Linked DNA regions of Elephas maximus indicus. The protein of the gene in region 1 binds, or shares a complex with, the protein of each later gene. Links are inferred from orthologs where the notes say so. Each region holds a gene or a part of one and is shown on either strand. Other genes may lie near its edges. The genes, in order: F2, F2RL3 and F2RL2.

Region 1 (10,203 bases):
GGAGGTGGATTCCAGCCGGAGAGACCAGAAAGGACAAAGTCCCTGTGTGTTTGAGCAAGGAATGGTGATGGAGGCAGAGTGTGGAAGGAGGTGGAGACAGAGACGGGCCCATATATACCCTCTTTCACCCTTTAGATGGGTAAGTTCTCTGGGAGGTAGAAGTGACGGATTCAAAGACGGAGGGGGATAGATCCGACTCCTGGTTTCTGGCTTAGGCAATCAAATGGTAATAAGGCAGGTAACACTGCAGGGGGATCCAGGTCAATTATGATTTGGGTTTTAAGTGTCTGCAGGAGATATCCCAATTGAGCAGTTGGAAATAGTTACAAACCTGTGGAGAAAAGCCTGGGTTAGAGGAAGAGGATCTGGGAGTTACTGGCCAATAGGTGGTCACTGAAGCTGTGGGAGTGGGGGAAGGTACAGAGAGAAGAGACGAGGGCCCAGGACCAAGCACTGCAGTAGCCCAACCCTTCAGGTTCGATGAGACAAGGAAGACTTGTCAAAGGAGACTAAAACTCAGCATCCAATAAAACGAAAACCCTGCAAAGTCTGGATCACAAAGCTAAAGAGAGAGTGTTTCAACAAGGAGGAAGTGGTCAACAGTGTCTGTTGACTGTGGAGGGTGGTGAAATGTGTAGGAGCCACTGATGAGCCAGGTGAGAGCAGTCAAAAGCCAGACTGGTTTGCTTTGAGGAGGAGTGGAGGTGAGAGAGGCAGGAAGAACATACATTCTTGCTTCGTCCTTATGCTGTCTTGCAAAATAGATGCCGTGATCCTCATTTTGGGGATGAGGATACTAAGTTTCAGCGGGGGTAAGTAACATGTCAAGACCACAAAACGAATAAAAGGCAAAGCCAGATTCAAATCTGGGTGGTTTTCTGGCACTTTCACAGCATTTGATCATAATGTCATAAGCAGCCATGTCTCCCATTTTGCCATTGACATTAACCCAGCTGTCCACCAGTCTGAATAACTTCTTGGTAATGCATAATTCTGGGACTGTCCAGGAGGAGGGAGGGCCAGGAAATGGTGGCAGTGTGTGGGGAGAAACACCACAGCATCCAAAGCCTGAAAAAGAGTTGCTACGATTAGATTTTAACCAACCAACCTTGTTTCTTGGGACTTGTGTGAGGCCTGGTAGGTCCTGTTCTTTTCCAGTTCTTACCTCAGCTTGGGTGATGGCTCAGCAGTGTCTGCCCAGAACTGTTAGGTATCCTGGGGGTACACTTTTCACTTGATAGGGAACTGCGCCTACCTCCCGCCTCAGGCCCTCAAGAGAAGAGGTGCATATGTGTTTTGTCCTCCCTGTTACCACCCCTGCCTCTTGCCACTTCTCCCTCTGCAGGTTGACTCAGCACTGGCCCAAGCTGATCATCAGGGAAAGGGGGCCATCCAAGGAACACCTGTCTTGAGAAGGATGAAGCCATACTTCTCTCTGTTCTCTACTTCTCAGGAGCCCTGCTCCCTTTCTCACTCAGTATTTGATTTTTGAATAAATGAGTGATACAAGATCTTTTCACCATTCCACTCCAAAAAAAAAAAAAAAAAAAGTAGGCTCAATATCATTAGTCAACAGGGAATACAAATTAAAATCAGTGAAATATGCTGATACATCCATCAGAATGGTTAATATTAAATGGACAGAGAATATAGAGTGTCAGCAAGGATATGAAGCAACTGGAACTTTTTAAATGTGGGAAAGTAAACTGGTACAACCACTTAGGAAGACTACTTGTAATAGCTACTTAAGCAAAATATATACCTACTTTATGACCCAGCGAATCTGCTCCTGAGCATATATACTCAAAGAAGTGCTTATATACACCAAAAGTCTTGTTCAAGAATATTCATAGCAGCACTGTTCATAATAGCTCAAAACTGGAAACTAATCCAAATGTCCACCAATGGGTGAATGGATAAATAAAACGAGTAAGAACGTCACGCAATGAAGGAACAAGCTATTGATCCAGACAACACGAATGAATCTCAGAAATATACTGAACAAAAAAAAGCTAGATGCAATGAGTATATACTATAGGTTTCCATTTACATGAAGTTCAAATATAGGCAAAACTTACTTATGGTGATAGCGGTTAGAATAGTAGTTATATTGGGGGTACTGAATGAGATGAAGGAGTCTGTTTTGGGGCTGGGAATATTCTCTGTCAATCTGGGTGTTGGTTACATGGGTGTGTATCTAAAAATCTGAGTTATACACTTAGGATTTGTGAACATTACTGTATGTAAATTATGCCTCAATTGAAATATATATACATATATATCCACACAGTCTTATGCGCTGTTGAGTCAATTTTGGACTCATAGTGGCCCCGTGTGACATAGTAGAACTGCCCCATAGGTATTCTAGGCTGTAGTCTTTACGGAAGCAGATCTCCAGGTCTTTCTCTGCAGAGCCACTGGGCAGGTTCAAACTGTCAGCCATTTCATTAGTGGCTGAGCGCTTTACCATTGTGCCACCAGGGCTCTCTCTCTCTCTCTCTCTCTATATATATATATATATACACACAGACAGACATACACACACACACACAAAATATAAGAACTTTGGCCACCCAGGAATTAAGCTGATTCCTGGGAGCCTGGTCTGCAGGGCTCTGCCAACCCTCTCTGTTACAAACACTGCACCAGGCCCCTGCCCGTGATCTTGCCAGGTGAACATGACTGCAGTCCAGACCCCAAACAGCCAGGCCCAAAGGATAGGCAAGGCAAGGCCCTGTGCTTCCCTCTGTTCTCGCTCTTTGTCCTTCTGTCCTAATTAGACCCAGGACTAATATTTATCTTGCAGACTGCACACAGGAAATGGGGGAGGGACAGGGAGCAGGGCTGGGCCCAGGGGCAGTATAGGACCTGCAGCCACTCTAGGCTTGGACCAGGTAAGACAGGCAGGGAGAGAGGGAGGGGCCCTACCCCAGAGGCCCTGGGATTTGGGCTGGCTTCTGTTCCGGGCAGGCAGCAGGTCCTGGGAGATGAAAGAAAATAGACCAAAGGCCCAAGAGGCCCTGGACCTGCTCCTCCCAGGTAACCACCACATACAAACACACATCCACAGCACCCCAGATGGGAAAAAGGGGAAATGGAACCTTCCATCAGTGGTTGAGAGTCCGGGGCCCCTGTTGGGTGTCCCTGCCCCCAGCACATCCCAGAAAGAGGTGGACAGCTTGTGTCTGGCCACATTGTGGCCACACCCTTGTCTCCGGCCACATTGTGGCCACACCCTTGTCTCCATTTTCTTATATCTGCATATTGTGATTCCACAAACCTCTCCGTCAGTTTACATACATTTATCTACCAATTATTTATGTATTGACATACATTTACCAATTATTAACAAAAACCAAATCTGTCGCTGTCAAGTCAATTCTGACTCATGGCTACCACACGTGTGTCAGAGTAGAGCTGTGCCCCATAGGGTTTTCCATGGCTATGATCTCTCAGAAGTAGATAGCCAGACCTTTCTTCCTGGGAGCCAATGGGTGGATTCGAACCCCCAATCTTTTGTTTAGTGGCCAAGCACAAACCATTTGCACCACCTAGGGACCTTTACATTTATAATCTCCTTTACTCCTCACACCAAGTTCTATTACCATCCCCATTTTACAGATGAGAAAACTGAGGCATATAGAGACTAAAGCAATCATTACCATGTATTAGCTTCAGGAAGATCTTGGCCCAAGTTCACCTCATGCCCCAGGGAGAGGAGGAGTGGGGGTTGGTGGTTACAGTGACCTTTCCTTTGTGGCTTCCTCTCAGACTGTCCATCTCTGGTCCTAGGAGAACGTTTTCACCAGATGGCGGGGGTGGGCAGGTGAACTATCTATCTGCTTGTCCCTACGGCCCTGAACCCATGACCTCTCCTTCTCGGCCAATTTCTTCATGCTAGTTCAACATTAACCCAGAGGGGTCAGGATGAGCCTTCAGAGTCCCAGAGCAGACACACTATGGCGCACGTCCGAGGCCCGCGCCTGCCTGGCTGCCTGGCCCTAGCTGCCCTGTTCAGCCTTGCGCACAGCCAGCATGGTAAGGGGCGGCTTGGAAGCTAGGACAGGCTGGAAGACTGGGCCATGGGCCGTGGTTGGGGTCTACTGGCCTGACAGAGAACACGGCTGACCCCCAGGAGGGTCTCAGCCCAGGGTATCCAGCTTAGGGAAGCAGCTAGGTCCTCAGGGCTGGAGGACGCTGGCTGCTTCTCTCCTGCAATATGGGGAGTGCGCTGGAAGTGGCCAATGTAAATAGGGGACCTGGTGGGCTACATTTGGCTGCTTTCTGGCTTCCGCCGGCATGCCAGCCACCCCCTTCTGGATGCCAGCATGGCTTGCTTCCTGGCCCCACCATGGCCAAGGCCGCCTGGCTCTCTGAGGCCGCTGTCGCACGACCCTTCTACCGCAGTGTTCCTGGCCCCTCAGCAAGCACTGTCGATGCTCCAGCGGGTCCGCCGTGCCAACAGCGGCTTCCTGGAGGAGATGCGCAAAGGTAACCTGGAGCGAGAGTGCGTGGAGGAGCAGTGCAGCTATGAGGAGGCTTTCGAGGCCCTGGAGTCTCCCAGTGACACGGTGAGGACCAAGAACATCGGAACTCATTAACTACTGCTAAGTTAACTTCAACTCTGATCCCCATTCCACTGGGCTGGCAAGGTGATCAACCTCAGCCATTTTTGGAGGTCCCTGTACTTGGCTATGCTGAAGTGCCAGGGTCTGTTGAGGCTGCCTGACATGCAGAGGCCTCCTTGGTCTCCAGACAGCTGCCTATGTTGGGATCTCTACAGTCCCTTGCCCTGACCCATGTGATCTCTTCAATTTCAGCCTTTCTGTGCCACCCTTGGGCTATGGGAATCCTATGAGGCCAGGAGCCCTGGGCTTAGGCCTCAGCGTTCCTGGAACTCTGGCAGCCTTTCCCTTCCTTGGGTGTCTGCCAGGGCCCGCAGCTAAGGACCCATGCTCCTCTCTCCTCTCACCTACCCCAGCTCAGGGGACCCCTTTTCAATTGTGGTGAGTGGGAGAGAGTGGACTCCCCTCTCCTCAAATACCCTTTTCTTTAATGGGCTTGGGCTTTTGGTCACCAATCTCCCCAGAGCCTGACTCTGTGTGACTGAGCTAAGGGAAGGGAAAGTCATTGGAGAAGACAGAAGTTTACTATAATAAAAATAAGTAAATCAAAGGCTCTCGGCTCAGTCTCACTGCAGTCCTTGTTTTTCAGGAAGCATTCTGGGTCAAGTACACAGGTGAGCATCGAGAAGGATCTGCTCCTGGAAGGGAGGCCTGGAGACTCGAGCTAGGGAATGTTCTACCTCACAGAAATATCTGGTTCACCAGTCATCCATCCATACACTCACTCAGCCTTCTTTCTTTCTATCTGTTCATTTCTCTGCTTCTGAGTATTACCCCCCCCCCACCCTTTATTCCAGTCCATCCTGTCCCTACTCTGCTTCCAAAGGTGTTTCTGGGTCTTTTGCAGCTTGTGAGCCAGTGAGGACACCTCGAGAAAACCTCGTGGAATGTCTGGAAGGTGAGGAAACAACAGCGTCAGGGGTGTGGGATGTGAGGGGTAAGCAGTCCCAGGAGAGAGGGGCCTGAACCTGGAAGAGGAGGAGGGTAGGGGTGGGTTAGGGGATGTGGCCCAGTAGGGGCAGCCTCTTACATTGACATTGCCTTTCTTTTTTTTTTTTAATTGAACTTTAGATGAAGGTTTACAGAACACTAGTTTCTCATCAAACAGTACACACATTGTTGTACGACATTAGTTAACAACCCCATGACATGTCAACACTCTCCCTTCTCAACCCTGGGCTCCCTATTACCAGCTTTCCTGTTCTCTCCTGCCTTCCAGTCCCTGCCCAGGGTTGGTGTGCCCCTTTAGTCATGTTTTCTTCCCTGGGGCTGTTCAATCTTTGGCTGAAGGGTGAACCTCGGGAGTGACCTCATTACTGAGACGAAAGGGTGTCTGGGGGCCATACTCTCAGGGTTTCTCCAGTTGCTGTCAGGCCAGCAAGTCTGGTCTTTCTTTTTGTGTTAGAATTTTGTTCTACATTTTTCTCCAGCTCTGTCCCAGACCCTCTATTATGATCCCTGTCAGAGCAGTCAGTGGTGGTAGCCAGGCACCATCTAGTTGTACTGGACTCAGTCTGGTGGAGGCCATGGTAGATATGGTCCATTATGACATTGCCTTTCTGTCCCTATGGTCTAGCCTGTGTCTCTGCATCTCTAGCCCCCAGCTTCATGTTTGGCAGTCAATAAGATGTTTAATGTTGGAGGAACAAATGAATGAATGAATGCATGATGAATTAATGTTTAAGGCCTCATTCACGTTTGCCTGACTCTGCTCACCCCAGTCTTGCCCGCTGTTTCCAGAGCACTGCTCCTATGTTGTCACGCTCATTCTCCAAATCCCTTAGTGGCTCCCTATTGCTCCCAGGAAGTGTGGCGAGCTTTGTGCTTTCTGGCCTGAACTTCCCCTTCTAGCCTCACCTTCCACTGCACCAATCATGAACTCAAACCTTCAGCTACTCTGACAGCGAGAACTTCTTGACACATATCAAGGCGTTTCTCCTTCCTGGCACTTGCTCACATTGTCACTTTCTCCTGGAGCACTCATCAATGGCTATTGAAAGCCTCTCTATCCTCCAAGGGCTAATTCAAGTGCCATCCCATTCACTAAGCCTTCAGGGAGCCTTCTGTCTCCTTCATAGCATTTTAAATATACCTTTAGTATGACAGGGGCCCTGGTGGTGCAGTGGTTAAGAGCTACAGCTGCTAACGAAAAGGTCAGCCGTTCGAATCCATCAGCCAATCCTTGGAAACTGTATGGGGATGTTCTACTCTGTCCTCTGGGTCGCTATCAGTTGGAATCGACTCAGCGGCAATGGGTTTTTGGTTGGTTTTGGTATGACAATGGTCCCCACTACATGGAACACTTTAATCGCTGGCCGTGTTTTCATTAGTTAAATCATTCATTCGACAAACATTTAACTAGGCCCCTGCTATGTGCCAGACACTGTGTTGGGTGCTGGAGAGTCTAAGAGAGTCAGACACAGTCTTTGCCTTCAAGGAGTACACAGTCTCAAAGGAAAGCAAAAATACAAATCGTCAAGGTGATTGCTAGAAAAGTGCTGTTCAAGGTGCCAGAAGAACACAGGAGGGGCTTCCGGTTTGCTGGCAGAATTGGGGACAGGTCCCAGAGGAAGTACAGTTCACCTGGCCTTGTGGAATGCATTGATGAACTCTGCATTCCAGGCAGAGTAAATAGCATGTGCAAAGGCCCTGAGGTATGAGTGAGCCTAGTGTGCTCAGGAGTTAGGAGCCAAGGCACCAGGATAAATAGACCAGGGCCAGATCACAGAAGGACCTTGTTCACTTTTTCATCCTCTCAGACATGAGGAGCCACTGAATTTAAAGATGCAGAAAATTTGACTGTGACTGTCTTATTCATCACTATGTCCTCAGTACCTGGCATGGTGCCTGGCCCATGGTGGGTGCTCACTGACTATTTGGCGACTCTTGTTAACTGACTAGAGAACTGCTGGGTAAACCAGAGGTGCTGAGTAAATGCTGGTCAAGCACTGTGGTCCTGAGAGAGCTCGGAGAGGGTAGACAGACAGAGCTTTGCTGGGAGAGAGAGGGACAAATCCTCAGGATCCCAATACTGACCTGGCCTGGGGCCTCTGCAGGGAACTGCGCTGTGGGTCTGGGCACAAACTACCGTGGGAACGTGAGCTTCACCCGGTCAGGCATCGAGTGCCAGCTCTGGAGGAGTCGCTATCCACATAAACCTGAGTGAGTGATGGGCAGAGAGCAAGGAGACACTGGGGCATGGCTTCCCGCTGGGGTCCCAAGCTGAGCTTTTCCTATTCCAGAATCAACTTCACCACCTACCACGAGGCCTACCTGAAGGAGAATTTCTGCCGCAACCCAGATAGCAGCACTACAGGGCCCTGGTGCTACACTACAGACCCCACCGTGCGGAGGGAAGAGTGCAGCATCCCTGTGTGTGGTGAGCTGGGGCAGTAAGGCAATCCACGGCCAAGGTCAAGGCCAAGGCCAAGGCCAAGGCCAAGAGGTTTCTATGGGGCCTGGCAGCTGGGGGCAGGACCTGAAACCCCAGCTACCTTAGAAGGGGTTAGTCATCTAAAACGTATTTGGGCCCGTCAGTCAGTGGAGCTGGGAGACCTGAGGGCGTTGACTTCCCACGCTCCCCTTGCCCTCCCCAGCCTTGGCTTCCTTATGAGCCATCTGTGGCTTGTTGCAGACATGCTTTTCTTCCTGCACAGGCACTTTCCCTCCAGGAATCCCTCCCAGACCATTTCAGTCCACATGTCCTTTTCTGAACACCACAGAGCAAGACTCATTCATTTCAGAACTGTGCGAGTCCATCATTATTATTTCCCGTGGTTTATTAGTTAGCTCAGCCCCTGGGTGGTTGGAGGTTCAAGTCCACCCAGAGGCATCTTTGGGAGAAAGGCCTGGCGATCTACTTTCAAAATAATCGACCACTGAGAGCTCTATGGAGCACAGTTCTACTTTGACATGCATGGGCTCACTGTGAGCCGGATTTGATTCGACAGCCCCCCCCCTTTTTTTTTTTTCTGTCTTAAATCAGTTAGGTCGGTCCCTGGGTGGTGCAAAGGGTTAATGTGCTTGACTGCAAACTAAAAGTTTGGAGGTTTGAGTCTACCCAAGATATCTCTGAAGAAAGGCCTGGTGTGATCTGCTTTCAAAAATCAGACATTGAAAATCCTATGGAGCACAGTTCTACAGTGATACGCATGGGGTCACCATGAGTCAGAGTTCACTCAACGGCAACTGAAACTAGAATCAGCTACAGCCATAATAATGCTGCAAAACCAACCATAAGATCTCAGGGGCGTACAACAATAAGCATTTATTTCTCGAGTGTAAAAAGGCTGGCTGGGGCGGCTCCTTTGATACCAGCTGGACTTGCTCTGTGGGCTTGACTGATGTAGGACGTGTCTGGCTGGGTGGCTCTGCTTTAGACCATGGGTCCTGCTGAGCTCAGCTTCTTGCTGCAGGCTGGGCCCAGGCCTGCTCCACATGTGTTTACGGTGATGGCAGAAGCAAAAGTCACTGAGCAGAAACACACGGTGTCTCTCAAGGCCTAGGCTCAGAACCGGCACAGTCACTTCTGTCCACATTCCATTGGCCAGAGAAAGTCAATGATCAAGGCCACAGCCAACAGGTGGAGAAGTACACCCTGCCTCTGCGTGTAAAGTCACAGGGGTACAGACAGGGGTAAAGAATTAGAGCCAGTCCCTCAATCTAGCCCACATAGGTTGACACTATTTGCCCTTCAAACATCCTTATGGGGCCTTGACCTTGGGATTGGTCTTACAGTCATCAATTGTCATAATAAAAATGGCTACCATTTCCCCAGCCCTCCCCCTCCGCATGATATGTATGTTGCAGGCATGCTGAAATTGACCTACTGCCCATGTAGATAACCTCAGTCAATCCCAGCAATCTTTCTTCTGTGCCCCTACATAAACACAGAGTTCTTCTTAACCCAGCACTCCAGGCAGTCACTGCCAATAGATTCAAAATGACCCAGGAGGGAAATCTGTTTTCTATTCTGGCTTATTATGGGTCAGACTCTTTAATGGTTATGCTGTATATTCTGTTTAATCCTCTCAACAACCCTGCAAAGATGAAATTACCAAAGCAGTTGCTATCAAGTTGACTGTGACTCCTGGTGACACCATGTGCATCACAGTAGATCTGTGCCCCAAAGGGTTTTCAGTGGCTGCTTTTTCAGAAGTAGATCACTGAGGCACTTCTAGGTGGACTGGAACTTCAATCTTTTGTTGGCAGCTGGGCACATCAACTGTTTGCACCACCCAGGGACAGCATTGTTGTTGTTAGGTGTTGCTGAGTTGTTCTTGACTCATAGTGATCCCATGTGACAGAGTAGAACTCTCTCATAAGGTTTTCTTGGCTGTAATATTTACAAGCAGATCACCTGGTCTTTCTCCTGAGAAGCCCATTAATAATCCTTTGTATAAGCAACCAAACTGAAGCTCAGAAAGATTAAGTTACCTGGGGTCCTATAGGTAGAAAGCAGCAAGGCAGGGATTGAAATCCTTGTCTGCCTGGTTCCATCTGGGGGTCCATCTATTTTACTCCCCTGCCTCCTCCCCCACCAGGCGGGGAGGGTGTCACTGTGGCACTGACCCCACGC
Region 2 (10,203 bases), on another chromosome or scaffold:
ACTACACAAACACATAACCAAACCGGGAACTATGTAAACACTTAACCAAGCCTGACTCAAGGTAGTTTTTCAATAATTGTTCTCTCCCTTTCCTCTCAATGAATATTCATTTCCTTCCTTTCCAAGGATTTGAGACTTAATTTATCACAGTGGTTCTCGAAATATGGTCTTAGGACCAGCAGCATCAGCATCTCTAGGGAACTTGTTAGAAATGCAGACTTTTGGGTGTAATCCAGATCTACTCTTATGGATCGAATTATGCCCCCTCAAAATGTGTGTCAACTTGGGTAGGCCATGATTCCCAGTATTGTGTGATTATCCACCATTTTGTCGTCTGACGTGATTTTCCCACGTGTTGTAAACCCTGCCTCTATGATGAGGCAGGATTAGAGGCAGTTACATTAACGAGGCTGGACTCTTAATCTACGAGATTAAGACCCACTGCCATCAAGTTGATTCTGACTCATAGCGACCCTATAGGCCAGAGTAGAACTGCCCCATAGAGCTTCCAAGGAGCACCTGGGGATTCGAACTGACGACCTCTTGGTTAGCAGCCATAGCACTTAACCACTATGGCGCCAGGGTTTCCTCTACAAGATTAGGTTATTTTAAATCAATCTCTTTTGAGATATAAAAGAGAGAAGTGAGCATAGAGACGGGGGACCTCTTACCACCAAGAAAGCAGTGCCAGAAGAAGAATGTGTCTTTTGGACCCAGGGTGCCTGCACAGAGAAGCTCCTAGACCAAGGAAAGCTTGATGCAAAGGATTTTCCTCCAGAGCCGACAGAGAGGGAAAGCCTTCCTCTGGAGCTGGCACCCTGAATTCAGACTTCTTGCCTACTAGACTGTGAGAATAAATTTCTCTTTGTTAAAGCCACTCACTTGTGGTATTTCTATTACAGCAGCACTAGATGACTGAGACACCTACTGAGTGAGAGACTGGAGGTAAGGCCCAGTAATCTGTGTTTTCATAAATCCTGTAGGCTATAGTGATGTACACTTTCTTTATGTATCAGATTTGCAATTGATGTTCTGATAGTACCTTTAAATTTTTGAAACGTTATTGTAGCCTACTGTCATGGATTGAATTGTGTCCCCCCCCAAATATGTGTCAAATTGGTTAGGCCATAATTCCCAGTATTCTGTGGTTCTCCTCTATTTTCTGATTGTAATTTTATGTTGAAAGGATTAGGGTGGGATTGTAACACCACCCTTACTCAGGTCACCTCCCTGATCCAAGGTAAAGGAAGTTGCCCTGGAGTGTGGCCTGCACCACCTTTTATCTCTCGAGAGATAAAAGGAAAGGGAAGCAAGCGGAGAGGTGGGGACCACCAAGGAAGCAGTACCAGGAGCAGAGCGTGTCCCTTGGACACGAGGTCCCTGGGCCTCAGAAGCTCCTCAACCAGGGAAGGATAGAGGACAAGGACCAAGGACCTTCCTCCAGAGCCGACAGAGAGAGAAAGCCCTCCTCTAGAGCTGACACCCAAAATATGGACTTGTAACCTACTATACCCACTAGATTGTGAAAAAACAAATTTGTCTTTGTTAAAGCCATCCACTTGTGGTATTTCTGTTACACAGCACTAGATAACTAAGACACCTACAGTCTTAGGAATGACTTATTTGTTATGCCTTAAGTTTTTCCCATTGCTGACTTCTCTTGTTATTTTTCAAATATTATTGTTATTATTATTGAATCATATTTTAATATCATTATAATGGTATTATTATATCATTATTATCATACTACCATCATCATTACCTGTACCATCTCTGCTTCATATTTTTGATCAGAAAGTTAAATACAAATTTTTTTTTTTTTTTGGTAAGGTTGTTGAACTGATAATTCCATCCTTCCTTCTCTGTACTGCATAAAACTCCTTGAGCAATATAGCATTCTCCTAATTGACCTCTTCACATTTCTTAATACAGTTAATGAATCGTGACTGACAGCTTTAACAAAAAATAGTTACCTATTTGCAGCTGCCAGGGAAAGCTGTTCTAATATCCAGGCAAACTATAAACTATCCTTCTTTAGCATAGAATTTTTAAGGCAGGGATGTGTCAAACAGAATCATGTGTGTGTGTGTGTTTTGATATTTTCCCAGCCATTAGCTGAAGGCAAGTATCTGGAGATTTAGGACCCACTTATGGTAAGGCAATAACAGCTTCCTAAAACAAAACAAAAAACCCAAACTCATTACAGTTGAGTTGATTGCAACTCATAATGACCCGAAGAGACAGAGTAGAACTGCCCCCATAGGGTTTCCAAGGCTGTAATCTTTACGGAAGCAGACTGTCACATCCTTCTCCCACAGAGCGGCTGTTGGATTCAGAACCACCAACTTTTTGGTGAGCAGCTGAGTGCTTTAGATTTCTTCTCTTTTAAGCCCCCCAGCATGTGGTACTTTGTCCAGCAGTCCTAGGTCACTCACATGAACAGTATCACAGCAGCACAAATGGCTCACGGTGAGAAGTAAAGCCCAAGTCCTCTCCCCAGGCAGCCTCACCCTGCGCCCAGCGTCCCAGGGTGTGGTCCTGGACATCGCACGTCACTCAAGTGAGACCCTGGGTTCCCAGTGTCTCTGTACCTTCCCTGTCATGTCTGGGGTCCCTCCCATGACACAGTGTCATCCACAACGGGGAGGGGGACTGTGCACCCCACTTTGTGCTACAGAAATGTCCTATACAAACATCTTCCCTGGGACATCCAGGGTAAGTTCCCGGATCTGGGGCCCCTGAGTCAAAGGGTGGGAACACTGACTTCCCCCATCACCTACAATGAAGGTGGCAGGGATCCCAGTTGTGGATGTCTTTGGTTACATGTGTCTGTAAGATGTGAGTGTGGGCTAAGTGTGTCCTTAGTGTGATACAAACAGCTCCCTGGGCCCAGGGACCTCTCTGGCCTTGGATTTTCCCGGAGCTGGGGCAGGGCCCTCCTATCTCCACCTGGGCTGACATGGGTGATTGCCACACTAGACGCTGCCCAGGACTCTGCCTCATCACTTCCTGGCTGGTCAACAAGTCCCCGGGTGTGTGACTAGATTAGGGCTGCCCTGAGATGAAACGGCTCCCTCTAACCCCAGACCCCCACCACCACAGGCTGGCCCTCCTGCCCCCAGTTCTTCCCTGTGGCCTGGCCCCGACCACAGGGCTCTCCCAGGCCGGGAGGGGCGTGGACTAGAGAAAGAAAGGGTGCCTACCGTCGAAGCCTCTATTTCTTCATCAGCACAGAGGGTGCCCCCCCCACCAGAGAATGGATGTTACATCCCACAGGGGCCTGGCCGCCAGGATGGGTGGGGGGCGTGGAGGGCTGAGAGGAGGAAGGGCCTCCCTTGGGTTGGGGTCTGGCTGTGAACCACATCACCGAACTGAGGCTGGGGCTGGGGCTTCAAGAGCCAGGGTCCCCTCAGACCCCAGGGCAGCACGTGGTCAGTGTCAGTAACTCTGGCTAAGGACTAAGCCCCTCTTCATTCTCCTCAGCAGACCCCAGGCTCAGCAGGTGCCTCTTACCCCTGCAGTGCCCTTTCTCCCATGTCCAGGGGAAGGTGCTGGACAGGAGTGAGGTCCCACAGAGGACTGGGTGTCGTGGGTGTCCCTCTGCTCGATGACCTCCAGCCTGGGGATGGGGGGAGGAGAGGCTTCAGGAAGGGCCCCTGACGCATGGCTGTCACGAGAACTGGGGCTGCAGAGCGAGCGAACAGCAGGAAGCGACCACTTGGACCACAGATGCTTCCTGGCTTGGGAGGGGGGTGCCGAGGTGGGGCAGCAGCTCAGCGCAGCACCCCCCCCCACCCCCCGCATCTTGCTGGGCCCTGTGAGGAGCCTCAGCTGGGTGGAGTTGACCTTGGTTTGCCCAGTCCTCAGCTGAGTCCCTCAGGCAGGATTGGGGTGGGGGCCAGGAAGGGGTCTTCCTGGTTTATCTCCCAGCTCTCCACCCTCCGGGGCTGAGGCAGGAAGCTGGGCTGGGGGTCTGCGGGCAGGAAGCCGAGGGGCCCAGACTACCGAGCCTGTCGGCAGTGACATGCGGAGGCTCCTGCTGCTCGGGGCCCTGGTGCGGGGGCTCAACCCTGCTGGCGGCACCCGCACCCCCAGCATCTACGACGAGACCCCTGAGGACCAGAGCGCAAGCGGGGCCGATGGTGAGTGAAAGGAGCAGAGAGAAGCCAAGGGGTATGGGGCCCAGAGCCAGGGGGCCTGGGTAGAGGGAAATTGAGGGGCCCTTCAGCCCCATCCCCCACCCTGGCCCTGACCCAGTGGGGCTGGGGGCATCTGCATCCTGAGAGCTGGGGCCTGGACTGTAGCCCCCCATGGGTTGGCTCCCCTCAGCAAACACAAGGGAGCAAATGAGGGGGACAACGCAAGGGAGGGAACTGATTCAAGGGGGAGCACAAGAGAGTGGCTCAGGGGTCTGGGGGGGACACAGGGGCAGTTGAGGAGTCCAGGGTGGACATGAGAGGCAGATACTAGGGGGTCACTAGAGGTGGACAGAAGGAAGGGGGAAATCAGTGGGGCAGCTGAGGGATCTGGGGTGGACCCTAGGGTGGCAACAAAGGGCCCAAGGGGAACACAAGGAGGTGGCTCAGGAGTCTGGGGAGGGACATAAAGGGCAGACACCAGGGAGTAACTAGAGATGGACACAAGAGGGGACACCAGGGGCAGACCCCAAGGAAGGGGATAGGAGGGGCAGATGCCAGGCTCTGGTGTAGCCCCCTTTGTCCTCGGCACCCATCCCTTCCCTCGAAACTGGGCTGACACCGCTCTCTCCGCAGGTAGCGAGCTGGGGCCCTGGTTCAGACACACAGAAGTGACAGCCCCGCATCTGCCCTGCCCACGCAGCTTCCCTGGCCGCCTCTGCTCCAACGACAGCGACACCCTGCTACTGCCGGACAGCTCACAGGCGCTGCTGCTGGGCTGGGTGCCAACGCGCCTGGTGCCTGCCCTCTATGCCTTAGCTTTGGCGCTCGGACTCCCGGCCAACGGGCTGGCGCTGTGGGTACTGGCCACACGTACGCCGCGCCTGCCCTCCACACTGCTGCTCATGAATCTGGCAGCCGCCGACCTGCTGCTGGGCCTGGCACTGCCGCCACGCATCACCTACCACCTGCGCGGTCAGCGCTGGCCCTTTGGCGAGGCCGCCTGTCGCCTGGCCACGGTCGCACTCTATGGCCACATGTACGGCTCGCTGCTGCTGCTGGCGGCTGTCGCCCTTGACCGTTACCTGGCCGTGGTGCACCCGCTACGCGCCCGCGCCCTGCGCGGCCGGTGTCTGGCCACTGGGCTCTGTGCCGCCGCCTGGCTGGTGGCCGCCGCGCTATCGCTGCCCCTCGCGCTGCAGCGACAGACCTTCTGGTTGGCAGGCGCGGGCGCGGGCCATCTGCTGTGTCACGACGCGCTGCCACTCGACGCGCAGCTCTCGCACTGGCGGCCCGCCTTCGCCTGCCTGGCGCTCCTTGGCTGCTTTGCGCCGTTGCTGGCCATGGCGCTGTGCTACGGCGCTACGCTGCGCGCGCTGGCGGCGGGCGGCCGGCGCTACGATCACGCTCTGCGCCTGGCCGCCCTCGTGCTGGCCTCGGCCCTGGCCTTCTTCGCGCCCAGCAACGTGCTGCTACTACTGCACTATTCGGACCCGGGGCCGCGCGCCTGGGGCAACCTCTACGCCGCCTATCTGCCCAGCCTGGCGCTCAGCACCCTCAACAGCTGCGTGGACCCCTTCGTCTACTACTACGTATCGGCCGAGTTCCGTGAAAAGGTGCGCCACGCGCTCCGCAGACTGACGCCTGGAAACGCAGGCGCGACTTCCAAGCCTTCCGGGGAAGGGGTTGGTGCGGGGAACGGCACCCGCTCTACCTCGTTGGTATGACTGACCTGCAGATGGGATGCTGAGCCCCAGGCATCCGGACCCCGGATTAGGTGGATCCCAAACCAGCCGGATCCCCAAAGTCAGCAGAACCTCCAGACCAGAAGGACCCCCCGGGCTAGCCAGACTCCTGGCCCTTCTGGACCTCCAGACCAGGTGGACTGTGGGACCGACTACAGTTAAGCCCCCTCCAGAGATGGGAGCCCCCTAACCTTCTACAGGACCCTGCTCAGGGGGAGTCCCGGCTGCCACCACCTCCCCCTTCCCCCCCAATTGCCCCAGCCGCTCGCGCCCCAGCAACCCTGGTTCCAAATTTGGGCGGTGCCCAGGGTTTGGGGCATCTTCTGAGCAATCAAAACGGAGCCCCTCTGGTGGTGAAATGTTTTGGATAAGGATAACCGGTGGCACAACATGAAAAACGTAATCAATGTCATTGAACTGTAAATGTGGAAGTCGTGCTGGCGGATGTTCTGGTGTGTATGTTTTCACCACAATAAACAGAACGAAACAAAAAAAAAAACCCAGAGCCCCCGACTCTGCCCCAAAGCATCAACTCTGTCATGGGGGATACAGGTCCCAGTCTCTTCCTCCTCTGTCTCCAGGGCCCTAGAGACTCCAGCTTCTCCTCTAAACCACTCTTTGACCTCTCGATTTGATGTTAACTCCCCCCAGAACTAGGTGAGGCCAGCGGTGGGCTCTTGGGGGCCTGGTTGGTACTCAGACCTATAGCCCTGTGACCCCCCTCCACAATGCTCCAGTCTGCTGGTAAACCCCACCCCCATTCACCCCAACACCATGAGCCACCTAGAGCACTGTGTTGGAGCTGTGGGGCAGAGACTGTAGCATGAGGGGACTGGGGGGGGGGGCGTCCTGGGCTCCCCATTGAGTCTGTGCTGCCAATAAGCCCAGCCTTGGGGGGCCAGGAAAGTGTGAGCTGGTGAGCAGGGTGACCCTGAGCCAGGGTGTCAGGGTGCCTGGGGACACACACTCAAACACACTCATACTCACACTAGCTGTCTCACACACACACACTCATTTAAACCAGTTGCCATGTGGTAGATTCTGCTTCATGGCAACCCCATGTATTACAGAGTAGAACTTGGCCCCATAGGGTTTTCTTGGCTATAATCTTAACAGAAGCAGGTCACTAGACCTTTCTTCCAAAGCACCTCTGGGTAAGTTCAAATTGCCAACCTTTCAGTTAGTAGCTGAATGTGTTTACCGTTTGTACCACCCAGGGACTCCCACACTTATTTACACACATTCATCCATACTCATGCTGACACATTTGCAAACACACACACACACTCCCACACACACTCATACACACTCACACACGAGTACATGTAGTCTGTGTAAGATTGGTGGATCAGAATCCTGGCTGTGACCTTGTACTAGAGTTTTGTAAGATGTTCATTAATTGGGTGAACTGGGCAAGGGGTGCCCCGGACGTTCTCTGTACAATTTCCTACACCTGCATGTGAATCTAGGGTGATCTCGGGGTGCAAGTGTGTGACTTCCAGAAACCCCACGCTCACCCAGCTCTAAAGACCTGGGCACAGAAGCCACGGCTGCTGGGGAGCTGCGGCTCCAGCTGAGGCCTGAGGGCCCCTACCCAGCCTCCGCATCTCGGGGGGGCCCTCTGGTCCCTGTCTATGACTGAGCCCCCATAACCCGCAGGAGGCCGTCGCCATCTGTGACTCCGGTGGAAACGAGCTTTTATTAAACCACAACCTCCGTGTTCTTTTGGGGAAAAGTCGGGGAAGCAGCCGCGGGGCCTATCCCCGTGGGCCCACAAGGGCAGGAAGGACAGGGCGGCTGTAAGTGGCAGGGTCGCTGCGCCCCCGGGCGGAGAAACAGCTTAACAGAGTTGGCTGAAATAACTACCTCGGAGAACCCCGCGCAAAGGCGCCGCCAGGGGCAGACACGCGCAAGAACGCGCGTTCTCGGGACGAGTACAGGAGCAGGCTTTGGGGGCGGCCTGGGACTTCTCCCGTAAGGCAGGTCAGACCCCGCGGCGCCAGGAGGAGAACGGTCCTCCAGAGCCGAAGCGGAGGGCCTGTCCTGGGCCGGGGGACCCGGGGCTGGCAGAGGGTACGTTACACTGGACCCGGGGCTTTTCCGTAAGGCTCTGTGCTACCATAGCTAAACGTTCAGGGGTCTTCAGGAGTGGGCGGGAAAGGGAGTGGGGGTGGGTGGGGGAGGGACCCTCGGGGCAAGGGCGGAGGTGGGGAGGTGACCCAGGACAACCCAGCCTTCTGGCTTCTGAGGTACCAGTTAAGGGACTCAGTGGCCAGGAGCCCCAAAAGGAGGCCTGGGCCTCCTGTTGTGGAAAGAGGCAGCCTGTTAAATTTCAAAGTTGCTGATGGAGGGACGCACGTTGTCTCCTGAATTTGGCTAGGTGCCTGTCTGCCTCAGAAAGAAGCCTTTGGCCAGGAGCCCTTCTAGGGAATGCCCCTTCTCCCATAGCGAATTTGGGGTGCAGGAGCTGCCTGCTCAAGGACAGAGATGCCCGAGCATCAGGGCTAGGGGGGTCTGGAGCTCCAGCTGGGAAGAGTGGAGCTGCCCCACCCCCAACAAGCCCCCAGCACCCCCACTGTCCCTCCGGTTGAGGGTGAGGGTGGTTGGGCCCCAGGAGACCCTAAGTAGGGTCTGACGGGCAGGCAGGTCTCTGCTGATCTGCTTATCAGCTTCATTTGGACTCAGGTGTCACCTCCCACCGAACAGTTGCTGGACCTTTCCGAGGGACAGCTCAGGGCTGACAAGAACAGGATGAGGCGCCAAGCAGGTAGGTGACCATAAGGAGGAGAAGCCACTCCTTAGTAAGGACAAAAAAAAAAAAGCATCCAAACCCAGTCCCGTTGAGTCGATTCCGACTCATAGCGACCCTATAGGACAGGGTAGAACTGCCCCATGGAGTTTCCAAGGAGCACCTGGTGGATTCTAACTGCCAACCTTTTGGTTAGCAGCTGTAACACTTAACCACTATGCCACCAGGGTTTCCTTGGTAAGGACACTACTAGGCAAATAAGCTCTGATACCCAGAGGGACCACTAGAAACATAATGGAAAAAAGTATAGTTAAAAAGACAATATAAAACCAAAAACCAAACCTATTGCTCTCAAGTCGATTCCACCTCATAGTGACCATACAGTACAGAGTGGAACTGCCCCACAGGGTTTCCAGGGAGCGGCTGGTGGATTCCAACTGCTGACCTTTTGGTTAGCACTGGTAGCTTGCCACAGCTCTTAACCACTGCACCACCAAGGCTCAAAAGACAATAAACCCATTGCCATCAAGCTGATTCCAACTCATAGTGATTCTGTAGGACAGAGAAGAACTACCCCACAGGATTTCCAAGGAGTGGCTGGTGAATTCGAACCGCTGACCTTTTGGTCAGCAGCCCAACACTTAACCACTGTGCCAGCACGGCTCCAAAATGACAATAGCTAAATTAAAAAAATGGAATTCTAAGAAATATTTGATTAATCCAAAAGAGGGCATGGAAAGATGAACAGAGTGGACAAACGAGAAATAATTAGACAGTAGCCCTAAACCCAAAGGCCCCTGGGTGGAGGAAATGGTTTGCACTCGACTGCTAACCTAAACGGTGGTTCGAACCCACCCAACAGCACCCCGGAAGAAAGGTCTGGTGATCTGCTTCTGTAAAGATTACAGCCTTGAAGACCGTATGGAGCGGATCTACTCTGTAACACATGGGGTCGTCATGAGTTGGAACAATGACAACCCTAAACCCAGCCCCATCAATAATTAATGGCCATGAACTAAACCCAGTGCCTGGGGCAGGATGGCACACCGCTGACCCTTGGGGATTTGGGGGAAAGCGTTCTTCCTGTTGGGTTTGCTGAGTGGAATAAAAAACTGTCTTTGCCACCAAGATTGATGTGAGAGAACCTGCCTGAAAGAAACGCTCACCTGACCAGGACTGAGCCTGAGCCTCACTCCCCCCTGGACTTCGCACAAATCTGAGCTGATAAATCAACCTTTTGCTTAAACCTCTTGAGTCCAGTTTTCTGTAACTTACGCCCCAAAGACTCACCTCCTCCAGGAAGTCTGCCAGGATGTCCCCTCCCAGCCTGACCCCACAGGGCTCCCCAGACCACCTGCAGCCCCTTCTCTACCCTTCCCTTGGGGCCCCAAGCCCAGGGGTGGATCTCTCCTGGAGTTGACCCCTCACTCTGCACACCATGGGCTTGGTCAAGGGCAGGATCCCCCTCTATGCCCAGAAATTCAAAGCCTGACCCCTCCATTTGAGTCATTCCCCACTCCTGCCAGGGGTCCAGAGCAGGGGGTGAGGGATGGATGCGGCCAGCTCTCACCTG
Region 3 (10,203 bases), on another chromosome or scaffold:
TAAGACAGGAACAAACAGGCCCCAAGTGTCTGGCCGAGGGGTCCCCAGCGACTAACGCAGGTTGGCTCCTACGTGCAGGTTTTGAGACATCTATTTTGACACCTTTTTGTTTAATCTGTGGGTTTGTGGTTAAGTTTCAGATAGTTAAGGATGTCAGGTTAATGATGTCCAGCAAGTCAGGTATGTTTCTGCTAAGGAAGGAATAAGAAACCTTCCATAAATCTCCCTACAGAGCCAAAAAATATCTGCTAGACATTTTAAGTCATATACCAGCAAGCTCTCTCTAAGGTATATATTCTCTGTGAGGGCAATATCACCCCAACAGGGCAAAAATTGGGTCTTGTGGGGTGTGCAAAAAATATGTTTATGTATAAAGCACAGATCCACATACAGCACATAAACAGATATACAATGTGTGTTTGGTAATAGAATTTTATGGTGGGGGCAATTAGGGGAAAAAATGTCTAAAAGACTTCTTGGGGCAATAATGAAAAATGGTTGAGAAACACTGCTCTAAGGAGTCATGGTAGAGGCAAACCTACGTTAAGGAAGCAAGAACCTCCAGCAAAAATGAACACTGAGTCAAGTGAAGAAGACTTGGGCTACTCTGCCCTTTTAAATTTTGCCTGTGGTAAAACATATGGGCAAACACATTTCCTTTTATCCTATTATCTGGGAATGGGTTTGATGCTTACAACATGTGACCACAATCTGTTTCAAGTCTTCATAAAAAGATGAAAAATGTTTTTAAAATTAAGATTACTTTGTTGAAAAACCAGAAAATTCTCATCTTAATGTCAGAATGTAGATGGCTTTGAACTTCAAAGCAACTTTTTTTCTTGTTATATATTGTAGAAGAAAGAACATAAACTCTCCGAGGCACAGGTCAGAGGGAAAGGGAGGATTCTGAATGTGCAAACGTGCAATAAAAAATTGCACATATTTGAGAAAAGCCTCTTGCTTTTTATAGTCAACAGTCCATGAGTCCCAATGTAGTAAATAATCCATGTAACATTTGCAGGCCAAACATTAGAAGAATCCAGAATAGAAGGAGTAAAATACCTTCTTAAATTAGTTTAATCTCTAAGAGAAAAACCATTAACCATTTTAGGCTATTTGAATGTCTACGCAGAGCAGTTCGACTCTGCGCACATGAGGTAGCCATGAGTTGGAATTAACTAGACAGCAACTAACAACAAAAACAACTACAAACTAATTTCTTAAATTATTTCTTCAGACTATGGCTTCCCTTCACTTTTACATTTAAACTTAAATCTCTTATACGTGTGTCTCAATTTTAATTTTTTTTTTCCTTAAGAACTAGACTGCTAGAAAAGGGAAGACTTCGAAGTTCCTAAGGGTATAAAGTTCAGGCTGGAGAAATCCAGATATTTTTCTAGGCTAAGGAAATAAAAACCAGATGTTTCTCACAGATGCCTCCAGGGTTTAAAAGCACATCTATGAAGCAAGACTAAGGCATCTCAACAGCATCCTATGACCTGACACAACCTAACAGATTCTAAATCATGCCATGAATGGACAGGTTAATTAACTATATTTTTAAGAACCTTATTTTAATTTGTGTAGGTTATTAGTATACTTTGAGTGTTACTGTACCATTTAGAAGCTACTTTGAATTGTCACAGAAATTTTCATACCATACCTCCTAGAAAATAGAATCATGGAAGACACAAAAGAGAGAATAGGCATTCATGAAGCAGAAATGGGCTAGTTTCTTAAGGATCAAGATAAAAAAGGATTCGATTCAGTTATGAAATTTAAGAGCTTAAGAATCATTGTTTTGTTCCCTGGATTTTGTTCAGCCGCATTCTGAAATATCAGAGATAGAATCTAATCTCTGAACACAGTACAATTAATTTTATTTTTGTATAAATATACATTCAAGAACTAAAATTTGGTAAGAGGGTCCAAATCACTTCAGAAATTAAAAATTACATGATTCAAGCATCTAGCTAAATTAAAAAAAGGCAAGTTCAGCAGTGAAAGAAGGCAAGTGCTCACATTTTTCTGCTTGCTCCTTGTCCATGTTGGCCTCATCGACTGCTTGCTGTATCTCATCCAGCCAAAGAACTTTGGAAGCAGACTCAGGGTCCTGGAAACATTGTCATAGAGTAAAAGAAAGAAAGAAGGATGAATGATGATGAAACAGAATGAATAACTGCTTATCAAGAGCCATTTTATATTAGCTTCCACAAAGTTTTATTTAGCAGCTACCAAGCACTGTTACATACTGTAAAAGCTACTTATGAAAAAGACCCAGTCTGACCACTTCTCACTTCTCCACTGCCACCTCTCAGACAGCTGGTCCCCTATCTGCTGTTGTTGCTTCCGAGTTTGCCTTCTATGACAGCGGTCTTCTACAGAGAACCAGACAATCTATAAAAGTGTATCTCATCAGTCAGTCCTCTGCTTACAATCCTCCAAAGGCTTTCCACTGCAGTTAGAATGAAGCACAGGCTCTCCTGCCATCAACTGTGAGGCTCTAATGATCTGGCTTTACATACCCCCGCCCCCTCTTCACCTCACACTCCTCTGACTAGTTTATCTTATCTTTCAGGCCTCAACTCAATCGCCTCCTACTGCTCTAGTTAAATACGCCCTTCCTTCCCCCAGTCACTCTAACTGGTTCCCAAACTACGTGCCAAGGTGCCCCTCGGTGTCATGGGGTATGGTAAATTTGACAGAAACACAGTGATACTTGACATTTATAGAACACAGAGACAAAAACAAAGAAACAAAGCCACAGTGATTGCCCTCAAGGAGTTAACAGTCTAGTAAAAGAGACAGATGTCGTCAAGAAATAATTGTTATACAATGTGATCCATGCCAATACTAGCTGTAGACATATCTAGAAATAGCTAAGAAGGGATTAATTTATGATAGGAGTGCTGAGTTGCAGGAGAAGCAAAGACCAATGATAAGGCTGGCTTCCGAGAGGAGTGATAAGAGCAATTAAAATGTACTGAATTATCTTACAGTTCTGCCTTTGGGTTGATTCTGATGATCCTGCTACAAATGCGATGCTAATATATAATTTATTAAATGGAGCTTCCAGCTAGCAGCTATGCTTTACAAAACCTTGTCCAAGACTGCAAGTAAATTTTGCTATCAGGAGGTAGAAATTAAATATTTTTAGGGAGGTTGAGACATTTCACTTAAAAAATGGGAATATTTGCTTATATGTAGGAGTGTCATGTCCCAAATCATAAAGCAAGATAGCGATGCGTGGGAGGTAGTGACTCTGGGGTTGGAGCCATAGCGTACTCTGGAAAACCAACTCTATCATGTAGGACTCAAGAGGGATGGGGGCAGGAAGGAGATATGACATTCTCCAGCTCCTCCAGCAGGCTTCTAACCCCACTTCCCTCAGAGGCTAATGTGTGAAGAGGGCTCTGAAAATGAGACAAAACAATTGTTGTTATTTCTTCTTGCAACATCCAGGCTGTCGGAGACCACTGGGGGAAGAGAGGCTTGGCCCTGCTTCCACAATCATTTCTAGCCAGAACTGCCACATGGGACCTATCAGCTATTAGTAAGATGTTCCATTTCTTTTAAGAATGGATGGGGAAAGTTCAAACAGGAAATAAGATGGGAAGCCAAAGGCTAAAGGAGGAATGAATGGACGACAGAGGAGGGACTCTTTTATTTTGTGTTTCCAAGCCCAAAGACAACTCAATATTTCTCATTCTATTGTTCTAAAACTAAGCTCTATACAAGTTTATTTACGTCTGTCTTATTTTTTTGGAGGGTATTTACCCATCTTCCTTCATAACTTATCACTGCAGAAGAAGCACCAGCACAAACTATCCAGATGAGAAGAAAATGACAATTCCCCTTTAAAACATTGGTTTTACAAGCCAAGCTCAAGAGGGACTTTGTAAATCAAATGAATTTAGGTCAACAGTTTAAATTGTGACATGTTAAACTGAAGATATCAAAACAAGAAACAAAAAAAAAACCCCTAACCCGCTGCCAGTGAGCCAATTTCAACTCATAGTGACCCTATAAGGCAGAGTAGAACTGCCTCACAGGATTTCCAAGGAGCGGCTGGTGGATTCGAACTGTTGATATTTTGGTTAGCAGCTAAGTTCTTAACCACTGCACCACCAGGGCTCCAAACTGAAGGTCGAGCTAAATAGAAAACCAAGAGCGAAAACTGAATTTTATCAAAGTAAGATCTCCTTTTCAAATTGCATTACCAGAAACTGAAAATAATTTTATTTTTATGGATGGCCACACCTCTATATCCAGCTAAACAACCAGGTTCCACATGCGAATTATAGATGGATCAAATGGACAAAAACTAGGCCATGTGTGAATCAAATAATAAATTCCTGAATTTAGATGATTCCTAGAAAAGTTTCAACTAAGGAAAATGTACTCAATATTTTGTTTTTTTCTTTTGTTATAATTTCTTCAATAGAGCATTCTTTCTCAGTTTGTGTTAGCATACATTATGTAGTTGAAGTATTAAATGCTGACCTCGGATTATAAAAATCTTGGTTTGATGAGATTTAATTTAAAGTTCACACAGATCAATTTCCTAGCTCTATCCCTCAGCCTTTAAGGCTCACGTGGAATTTGCATTTTCTGGCTCTGGCGGCATTTTATAAGCAACAGGCTGTTGGGTTCTCTAGCTTAAAATTTAATCTTAAACGTCACTAGCTATAGGAAAACCTATTATAACACAGTTTTCTTTTTGAGTGACCTAGAACATAAGCACGCATAGAAGCTTACTGGAGACTCACGGAATAAAGGGAGTCCTCTGTACTTCAGTGTTGTTTTATGATTTTAGTTTCATCAAATAGTGTTGCTTGGGGCCCCTCGGTTACCTGGCCCTACAGAACAAGAGGCTCAGAACACACTGAGCAGTGGCAAACAAATAAAACAAAGCCCTCCCCAAACAAAACAAAAAAACTTCACAAAGTCAAGTTCTGGTCAAGCACTGATGACAAATTCAGGCCAATGTGACATCAATGGAGAATTTTCAAAGTCACCAAGCGCCCAATTACTTTTAACGTCTTACAAATGTTTGTCTTCCACTATTGGCTTAATTTATAATTATGTAATGAGCTCAAGATTTAACGTCTGAAATAGCTGGGAGGATAAAAGAAAGGATAATTTCTGACAGCTCAATTAAGAAGTAGAAGCTGGGCTTTAAAAATGGGTAAAAATGAGAGATGGGGCAGATTCAAAACCGTTAGCATCGATTTTCAGCTACCTTCTGGAAAGGACTGTGTACGTTCTGCTTTCTTTAAATGCACATAACTACGCTGCATGGGAATTACAGCCTATTCAAGAGGATTATTAGGGATGAGTAAGAGTTAAAAGACTTTCTTGAGGATCATGTAGCGTGCTCCTGTTGGCCAGAAGCTCAGCCTGAGTCACGGCATACTGAAAATCAGTGATGTCACGCCCTTTCCCTGCAGAAGACAAGGCGAGTTTCCTGCCTGCAGAGCACAGGAGAGCAAACTTCTACTGAGATGACAAATTTCCATTTGCTGCTAGCACACGGAACTGATGCGCACCCGTGCTTCCAGCTGTGTTCCGTAAGTTTTTACATCTGATAACGTTTGAGAACTCGGACTCAGGTCATCAAAATGAAGGCTCTCATCTTTGCAGCTGCTGGACTACTGCTTCTGCCGCCCACTCTCTGTCAAAGCGGTAAGCCCCTTCCTTACGGGGTAGCATGGGAGTCTTGGTTTGTCACACGCTGACTCAAGTGAACCTGATTTTCTTTACATTTCACACAAACTGCAAACTGAAAAGGCAGAGCTTGATTTGAATTAAACAGTGAAGTCACGGAAGTATCTAGAGCTTGTTCACTCTACTCAGACCTTGTCACTAAGTGTTCTCTGCTGATATTTCAAAATTTATGCCATATGTGAGATTTTAAATATCTACAATTAAGTCAAAAGTCAATGTTCTTTGTGAGAAGTTTTTGGATTTTTAACAATTTCCTCTGATTCAGCCAAGATAGTACTTTTTCAAGGGATAAAAAGAAAAGTCCTATGTTTACACCTTCTGGTATAAACAAAAAGGGGGTGTGTGTGTGCGCAGGAATACTGCTAGACAGAGTAAAATATCTGCTTTCAAATGCCAGTGATGCTATGATGCTAAGAATAAATTAGTGTTTCTTAAATGAAATACCTTTTTGACTTTCAGGGGTAGGAGCAAGTTCTCTCATCCTCATATATGAATTTTTAGTTTTAGAAATAAGATCTCCCAAAGGCTATTATTCAAGTGTTCATAAATCTCCTATTTCACCTATCACAACGTTAGCCTGTAACCTGCTCGCTCCAAAATTAGCAAATCTGTGATTGATCTGTATCCATAACCTTCTACCATTAGGTCATCTCCAGTCAACATTGTTAGGAGTTGGAAGGGGGTGGTGAGGGAAGACCACAACAAGAAAATCACCACCACCACTCTAGTAAGGGAACGTTGCTGCAATTGATAGACTGCATCCCAGAGGTTACAGGAAAGCTCTAAGAGGATGGGAGGCTAGCAGCAGCACGTGTGGAGTCTAAGAATAGGATAAGTAAGTGCTTTTTCTGGGCATGGATGAGCCAAACTTGGAGCAGCAAAATTGGAAAAGAACAGAGTTTTGTGGAGGTGGTTCCTTCAGGATGCTAGTGGGCTTTGGTGAAATTGAAAAGAAGGGAACTTAAAAGGGGCAAAGTAAGTAAATACAAGTAAATGTGCCTTCTTCAACTGGGGTGGGGGGAAAATATGAAGCATTGAAGGAAGGAATCATTACCTAGTAGCTGAATTTTAGATTAGGACTCTCTCCTTTTCTCAGAAAAACATTTCAGACACATTACGCCAAATCGAAACCTGCATAAAGAATTCAAATAACTTTTTTTTTTTAAATAAAATTTAACAATGAGTGCTATTTTCAGGAAAACGGGGCTCTAAGGAACAAAAGATTTATTTAAGCTGAACTAGATCTGGAATTCTGGCAGAAAATGGAATCCAGTCAGCTTTTCACAAACACAGTGACTGTTTAGGATATGCTTTTATGTATGTCTTGCTCAATCACAGGAATTTCTGAAAACTAACAAACACTTGGTTTCAGTAGCTCTCTTATCAAACCCTGAAGGGAAATTACTTGTACAGCATGTTCTTAATCCATTATTTTCCAGCTTCATGTCCATCTTTAAAAGCACTCTCTGTGGGTGATGTTGGTGCAAGAATGCTTCCAAAATACAAAAATGAATGGAGGGATTTCTGTGGCTGAACAGATGTCTTACACAAGATGCCTTCAAAGGCTGCACAGAAGAATGCCACCTTCCACATTTTTCTTCCCTCTTCTTCAATCGCGCTACCCTTCCTTAGGTGACACTGATGGATGGATCACCCACATGTGCTCACTTGTTGGGGCAACACTCCGTCTCTATTTTACATCTGAATTCAGTTGTGTAATCTCAGGGTTGTGAGAAAGGCTTCAATTTCACCCTGAAGCTAACTCCTAGAGATTAAAGCAGGAAGAGAAACTAATCTGTATGAGAGAAACAGGTAACCACAAATATTCAACAAGTAGGAATTCAGAGGTCATGTGAAAAGACTTAACTGGCAGAACACTGACAACTTTAATTAATAAGTACAAGGTTATATTTGGGATCAAAGTCCATCCTAAGGTAACATTAGAAATTTGGGAGAACCTATTTTCTATACGGGGTCTCCTGGGTGGTGCAAATGGCTGCTGCGCTTGGGTAACCGAAAGTCCACTCAGAGGCACCTTGGAAGGAAGGTGTGGTGGTCTACTTCTGAAAAATCAGCCATTAAAAGCCCTACGGAGCACAGTTCTACTCTGACACACACTGGGGTCGCCATGAATCGGAACTGACACACCAGTAACCGGAATTTCCTACACATGTCAAAGATTAATTACTGGAAAAATTGTATAGTGATAAACAGGTTTGACCATTCAAGCTTGTTTAATTGCCTTTTCAGAAATTAGGATTATTAATATGTACATGCAATGTAATGCCAAATACTTAAGTATGTGGTTGCTGTGTTTCTCTGCTTTTAAAATTCATTCCTATCTTCTAAGAAAACCCTGGTGGCGTAGTGGTTAAGTGCTACGGCTGCTAACCAAAGGGTTGGCAGTTCAAATCTGCCAGGTGCTCCTTGGAAACTCTGTGGGGCAGTTCTACTCTGTCCTATAGGGTCGCTATGAGTCGGAATTGACTCGACAGCACTGGGTTTTTTTGTTTTTTTTTTTTAATCGTCTAAGGCACCATGTTGATTTCACCTTCTGATATTTCTTTGTCACCTTTCCCCTTAAAATCAGGCATTTTCCCTAAAGTTTACCTTTAGATTCTTTCTTCTCACATCTCCCCCTAGACCATCACAACTACTTCTACTAAATCAAACTACAATTTCTATGCAGACTAATAAACTCATACCTCTAATTTGGGCTCCTGGAATTTTGGACTCTACACTTAGTCTTCCAACCCTGCTGGACAATTCAATACACTGCTACACCACCCACAATTCAAACCTGAGATTTAACTTCTCCACAGTCTTGCTCCCTTGTCCCCCCACCTCAGTTAATGGCATCCTCCTCCAAGTCATCTGGAGTAGAAATCATGAGTCCCTTTTGCCTCCTGCCTCTCCCTCACTGGCCCCCACGGTCCATCAGATGACAAGTCCCTTTGAGCCTCTACCACCGAGTCGCTTGTGTTCATCCCCTCCTTTCTACCACCACTGCTTTCGTTTAGTAACTCATCATCTTTAGTTTGGACAATTACAGTAGCCTCTAAATCAGGCCCCCTTGCCTCTAGCCTTACTATTCTTTACACTGTCACCCAAAGTCATCTTAAACACAAGTCAAATCATGAGTGTATTAGTTTCCTATTGTTGCTACAACAAATTACCATAAACTTAGTGGCTTAAAGCAATACTGGTTTATTATCTTACAATTCTGGAGGTCAGAAGTCCTAAAATCAAGGTATTGGCAGGGCTGTGTTACTTCTGGAAGCTCTAGAGAAGAATCTGTTTTCTTGACTTTTTCAGCTTCCTTTGCTCATAGTCCCTTCTTCCACCTTCAAAGCCTGCAGTGTAACATCTTCAAATCTCTCTGACTTTGACTTTCCTGGCTCCTTCTTATCAGGACCCCTGTGATTACCCTAGGACCATAATCCAGATAATCCAGGACAATCTCCCATAAGACAATGCATTATGAACCTGTATGCTAGCTTGAAAGTTACTTAAAGATAGGGATGGAATTTATCAAAACTTTATACCACTGGTACATAAGTATGCAATGAACATTTGCTGAATCAAATTATCTGACATTCCCAAATCTCATGTCAACTCACCCTATGTCTTTGCCCATACATCACCTACCAGAATATTATTAATCTATTAAGTTTCATCTTCATGGCCCTTGCTCACTTTTGCTCAGGTTCATCTTTTCCTTGGGACACTCTGCTCACTTGAATCTGTTAACTACTGCCTGAATTCCTACAGAGTTCGTCATCAGTATGATATTGGTCTATAACGGTCTGGCGTGCTATTTTTGTCTTCCCCATCATACTATAAACTCCTTACTTGCAAGGACTAATCATCTAGTTTTTAACAGCTCCTGCACAGTTAGCATGGTGTTAGGCTATATACACTGTTCATTGTCTGACCTATAAAAGTTTTTTAAAAATAAAAATGACCCTAAATTCTAGATCTACAGAAATTATGTCGGATAAGATACTTGGTTTTATTTTCTCCTGAACTGTAGGCATGGTTCTGCAGGAAATCACATGCTAATACTTGTTTCAATTACAGGCATGGAAAATGATGCAGACAACTTGGCAGAGCCAACTTTACCTATTAAGACCTTTCGCGGCGTTCCCGAAAATTCTTTTGAAGAGTTTCCTTTTTCTGCCATAGAAGGCTGGACAGGAGCCACTGTACCTATAAAAACTAAGTGTCCTGAAGAAAGTGTTTCAAATCTCCACGTGAATAATGTTACCATGGGGTACCTGAGCAGCTCCTTAAGCACCAAAGTGATACCCACCATCTACACCCTGGTGTTCATGGTTGGTGTGCCAGCCAATGCAGTGACCCTATGGATGCTCATCTTCAGGACCAGATCCATCAGTATGGCCATCTTCTACACCAACCTGGCCATTGCGGATTTTCTTTTTTGTATCACACTGCCCTTTAAGATAGCTTACCATC

What was found.
Region 2: the proteins of F2 (region 1) and F2RL3 are in contact, whole or in part, in a crystal structure (PDB 2PV9), measured with the Mus musculus proteins. The link is inferred for Elephas maximus indicus from reciprocal best matches to the Homo sapiens genes F2 and F2RL3. Residues at the interface, in NP_034298.1 of Mus musculus: Glu385, Leu386, Leu387, Cys388, His403, Tyr407, Trp410, Asp411, Arg428, Arg453, Glu454, Asn455, Leu456, Trp501, Gly502, Asn503, Trp508, Thr510, Gln516, Arg538, Ile539, Asp559, Ala560, Cys561, Glu562, Gly563, Asp564, Val585, Ser586, Trp587; in NP_032001.2 of Mus musculus: Asp54, Lys55, Pro56, Asn57, Pro58, Arg59, Gly60, Tyr61, Pro62, Gly63, Lys64, Cys66, Asn68, Asp69, Ser70.
Region 3: the proteins of F2 (region 1) and F2RL2 are in contact, whole or in part, in a crystal structure (PDB 2PUX), measured with the Mus musculus proteins. The link is inferred for Elephas maximus indicus from reciprocal best matches to the Homo sapiens genes F2 and F2RL2. Residues at the interface, in NP_034298.1 of Mus musculus: Phe379, Gln384, Glu385, Leu386, Leu420, Arg422, Arg428, Thr429, Arg430, Tyr431, Arg433, Lys437, Ile438, Ser439, Met440, Lys467, Pro470; in NP_034300.3 of Mus musculus: Thr46, Phe47, Glu48, Glu49, Phe50, Pro51, Asp54, Ile55, Glu56.

The regions. Positions count from the first base shown.
Region 1 is NC_064825.1:102,163,968-102,174,170, forward strand, and holds the start of F2 (prothrombin), read left to right. Parts: upstream 1-3,959; coding exon 3,960-4,038; intron 4,039-4,407; coding exon 4,408-4,571; intron 4,572-5,214; coding exon 5,215-5,239; intron 5,240-5,472; coding exon 5,473-5,523; intron 5,524-7,681; coding exon 7,682-7,787; intron 7,788-7,867; coding exon 7,868-8,004; intron 8,005-10,168; coding exon 10,169-10,203. UniProt on the Homo sapiens protein: Thrombin, which cleaves bonds after Arg and Lys, converts fibrinogen to fibrin and activates factors V, VII, VIII, XIII, and, in complex with thrombomodulin, protein C. Functions in blood homeostasis, inflammation and wound healing.
Region 2 is NC_064821.1:37,065,668-37,075,870, forward strand, and holds F2RL3 (proteinase-activated receptor 4), read left to right. Parts: upstream 1-3,862; 5' UTR 3,863-4,024; coding exon 4,025-4,142; intron 4,143-4,772; coding exon 4,773-5,863; 3' UTR 5,864-6,363; downstream 6,364-10,203. UniProt on the Homo sapiens protein: Receptor for activated thrombin or trypsin coupled to G proteins that stimulate phosphoinositide hydrolysis. May play a role in platelets activation.
Region 3 is NC_064820.1:81,272,701-81,282,903, reverse strand, and holds the start of F2RL2 (proteinase-activated receptor 3), read left to right. Parts: upstream 1-5,446; 5' UTR 5,447-5,621; coding exon 5,622-5,685; intron 5,686-9,807; coding exon 9,808-10,203. Other genes in the region: ras GTPase-activating-like protein IQGAP2, read right to left, coding at 2,023-2,113. UniProt on the Homo sapiens protein: Receptor for activated thrombin coupled to G proteins that stimulate phosphoinositide hydrolysis.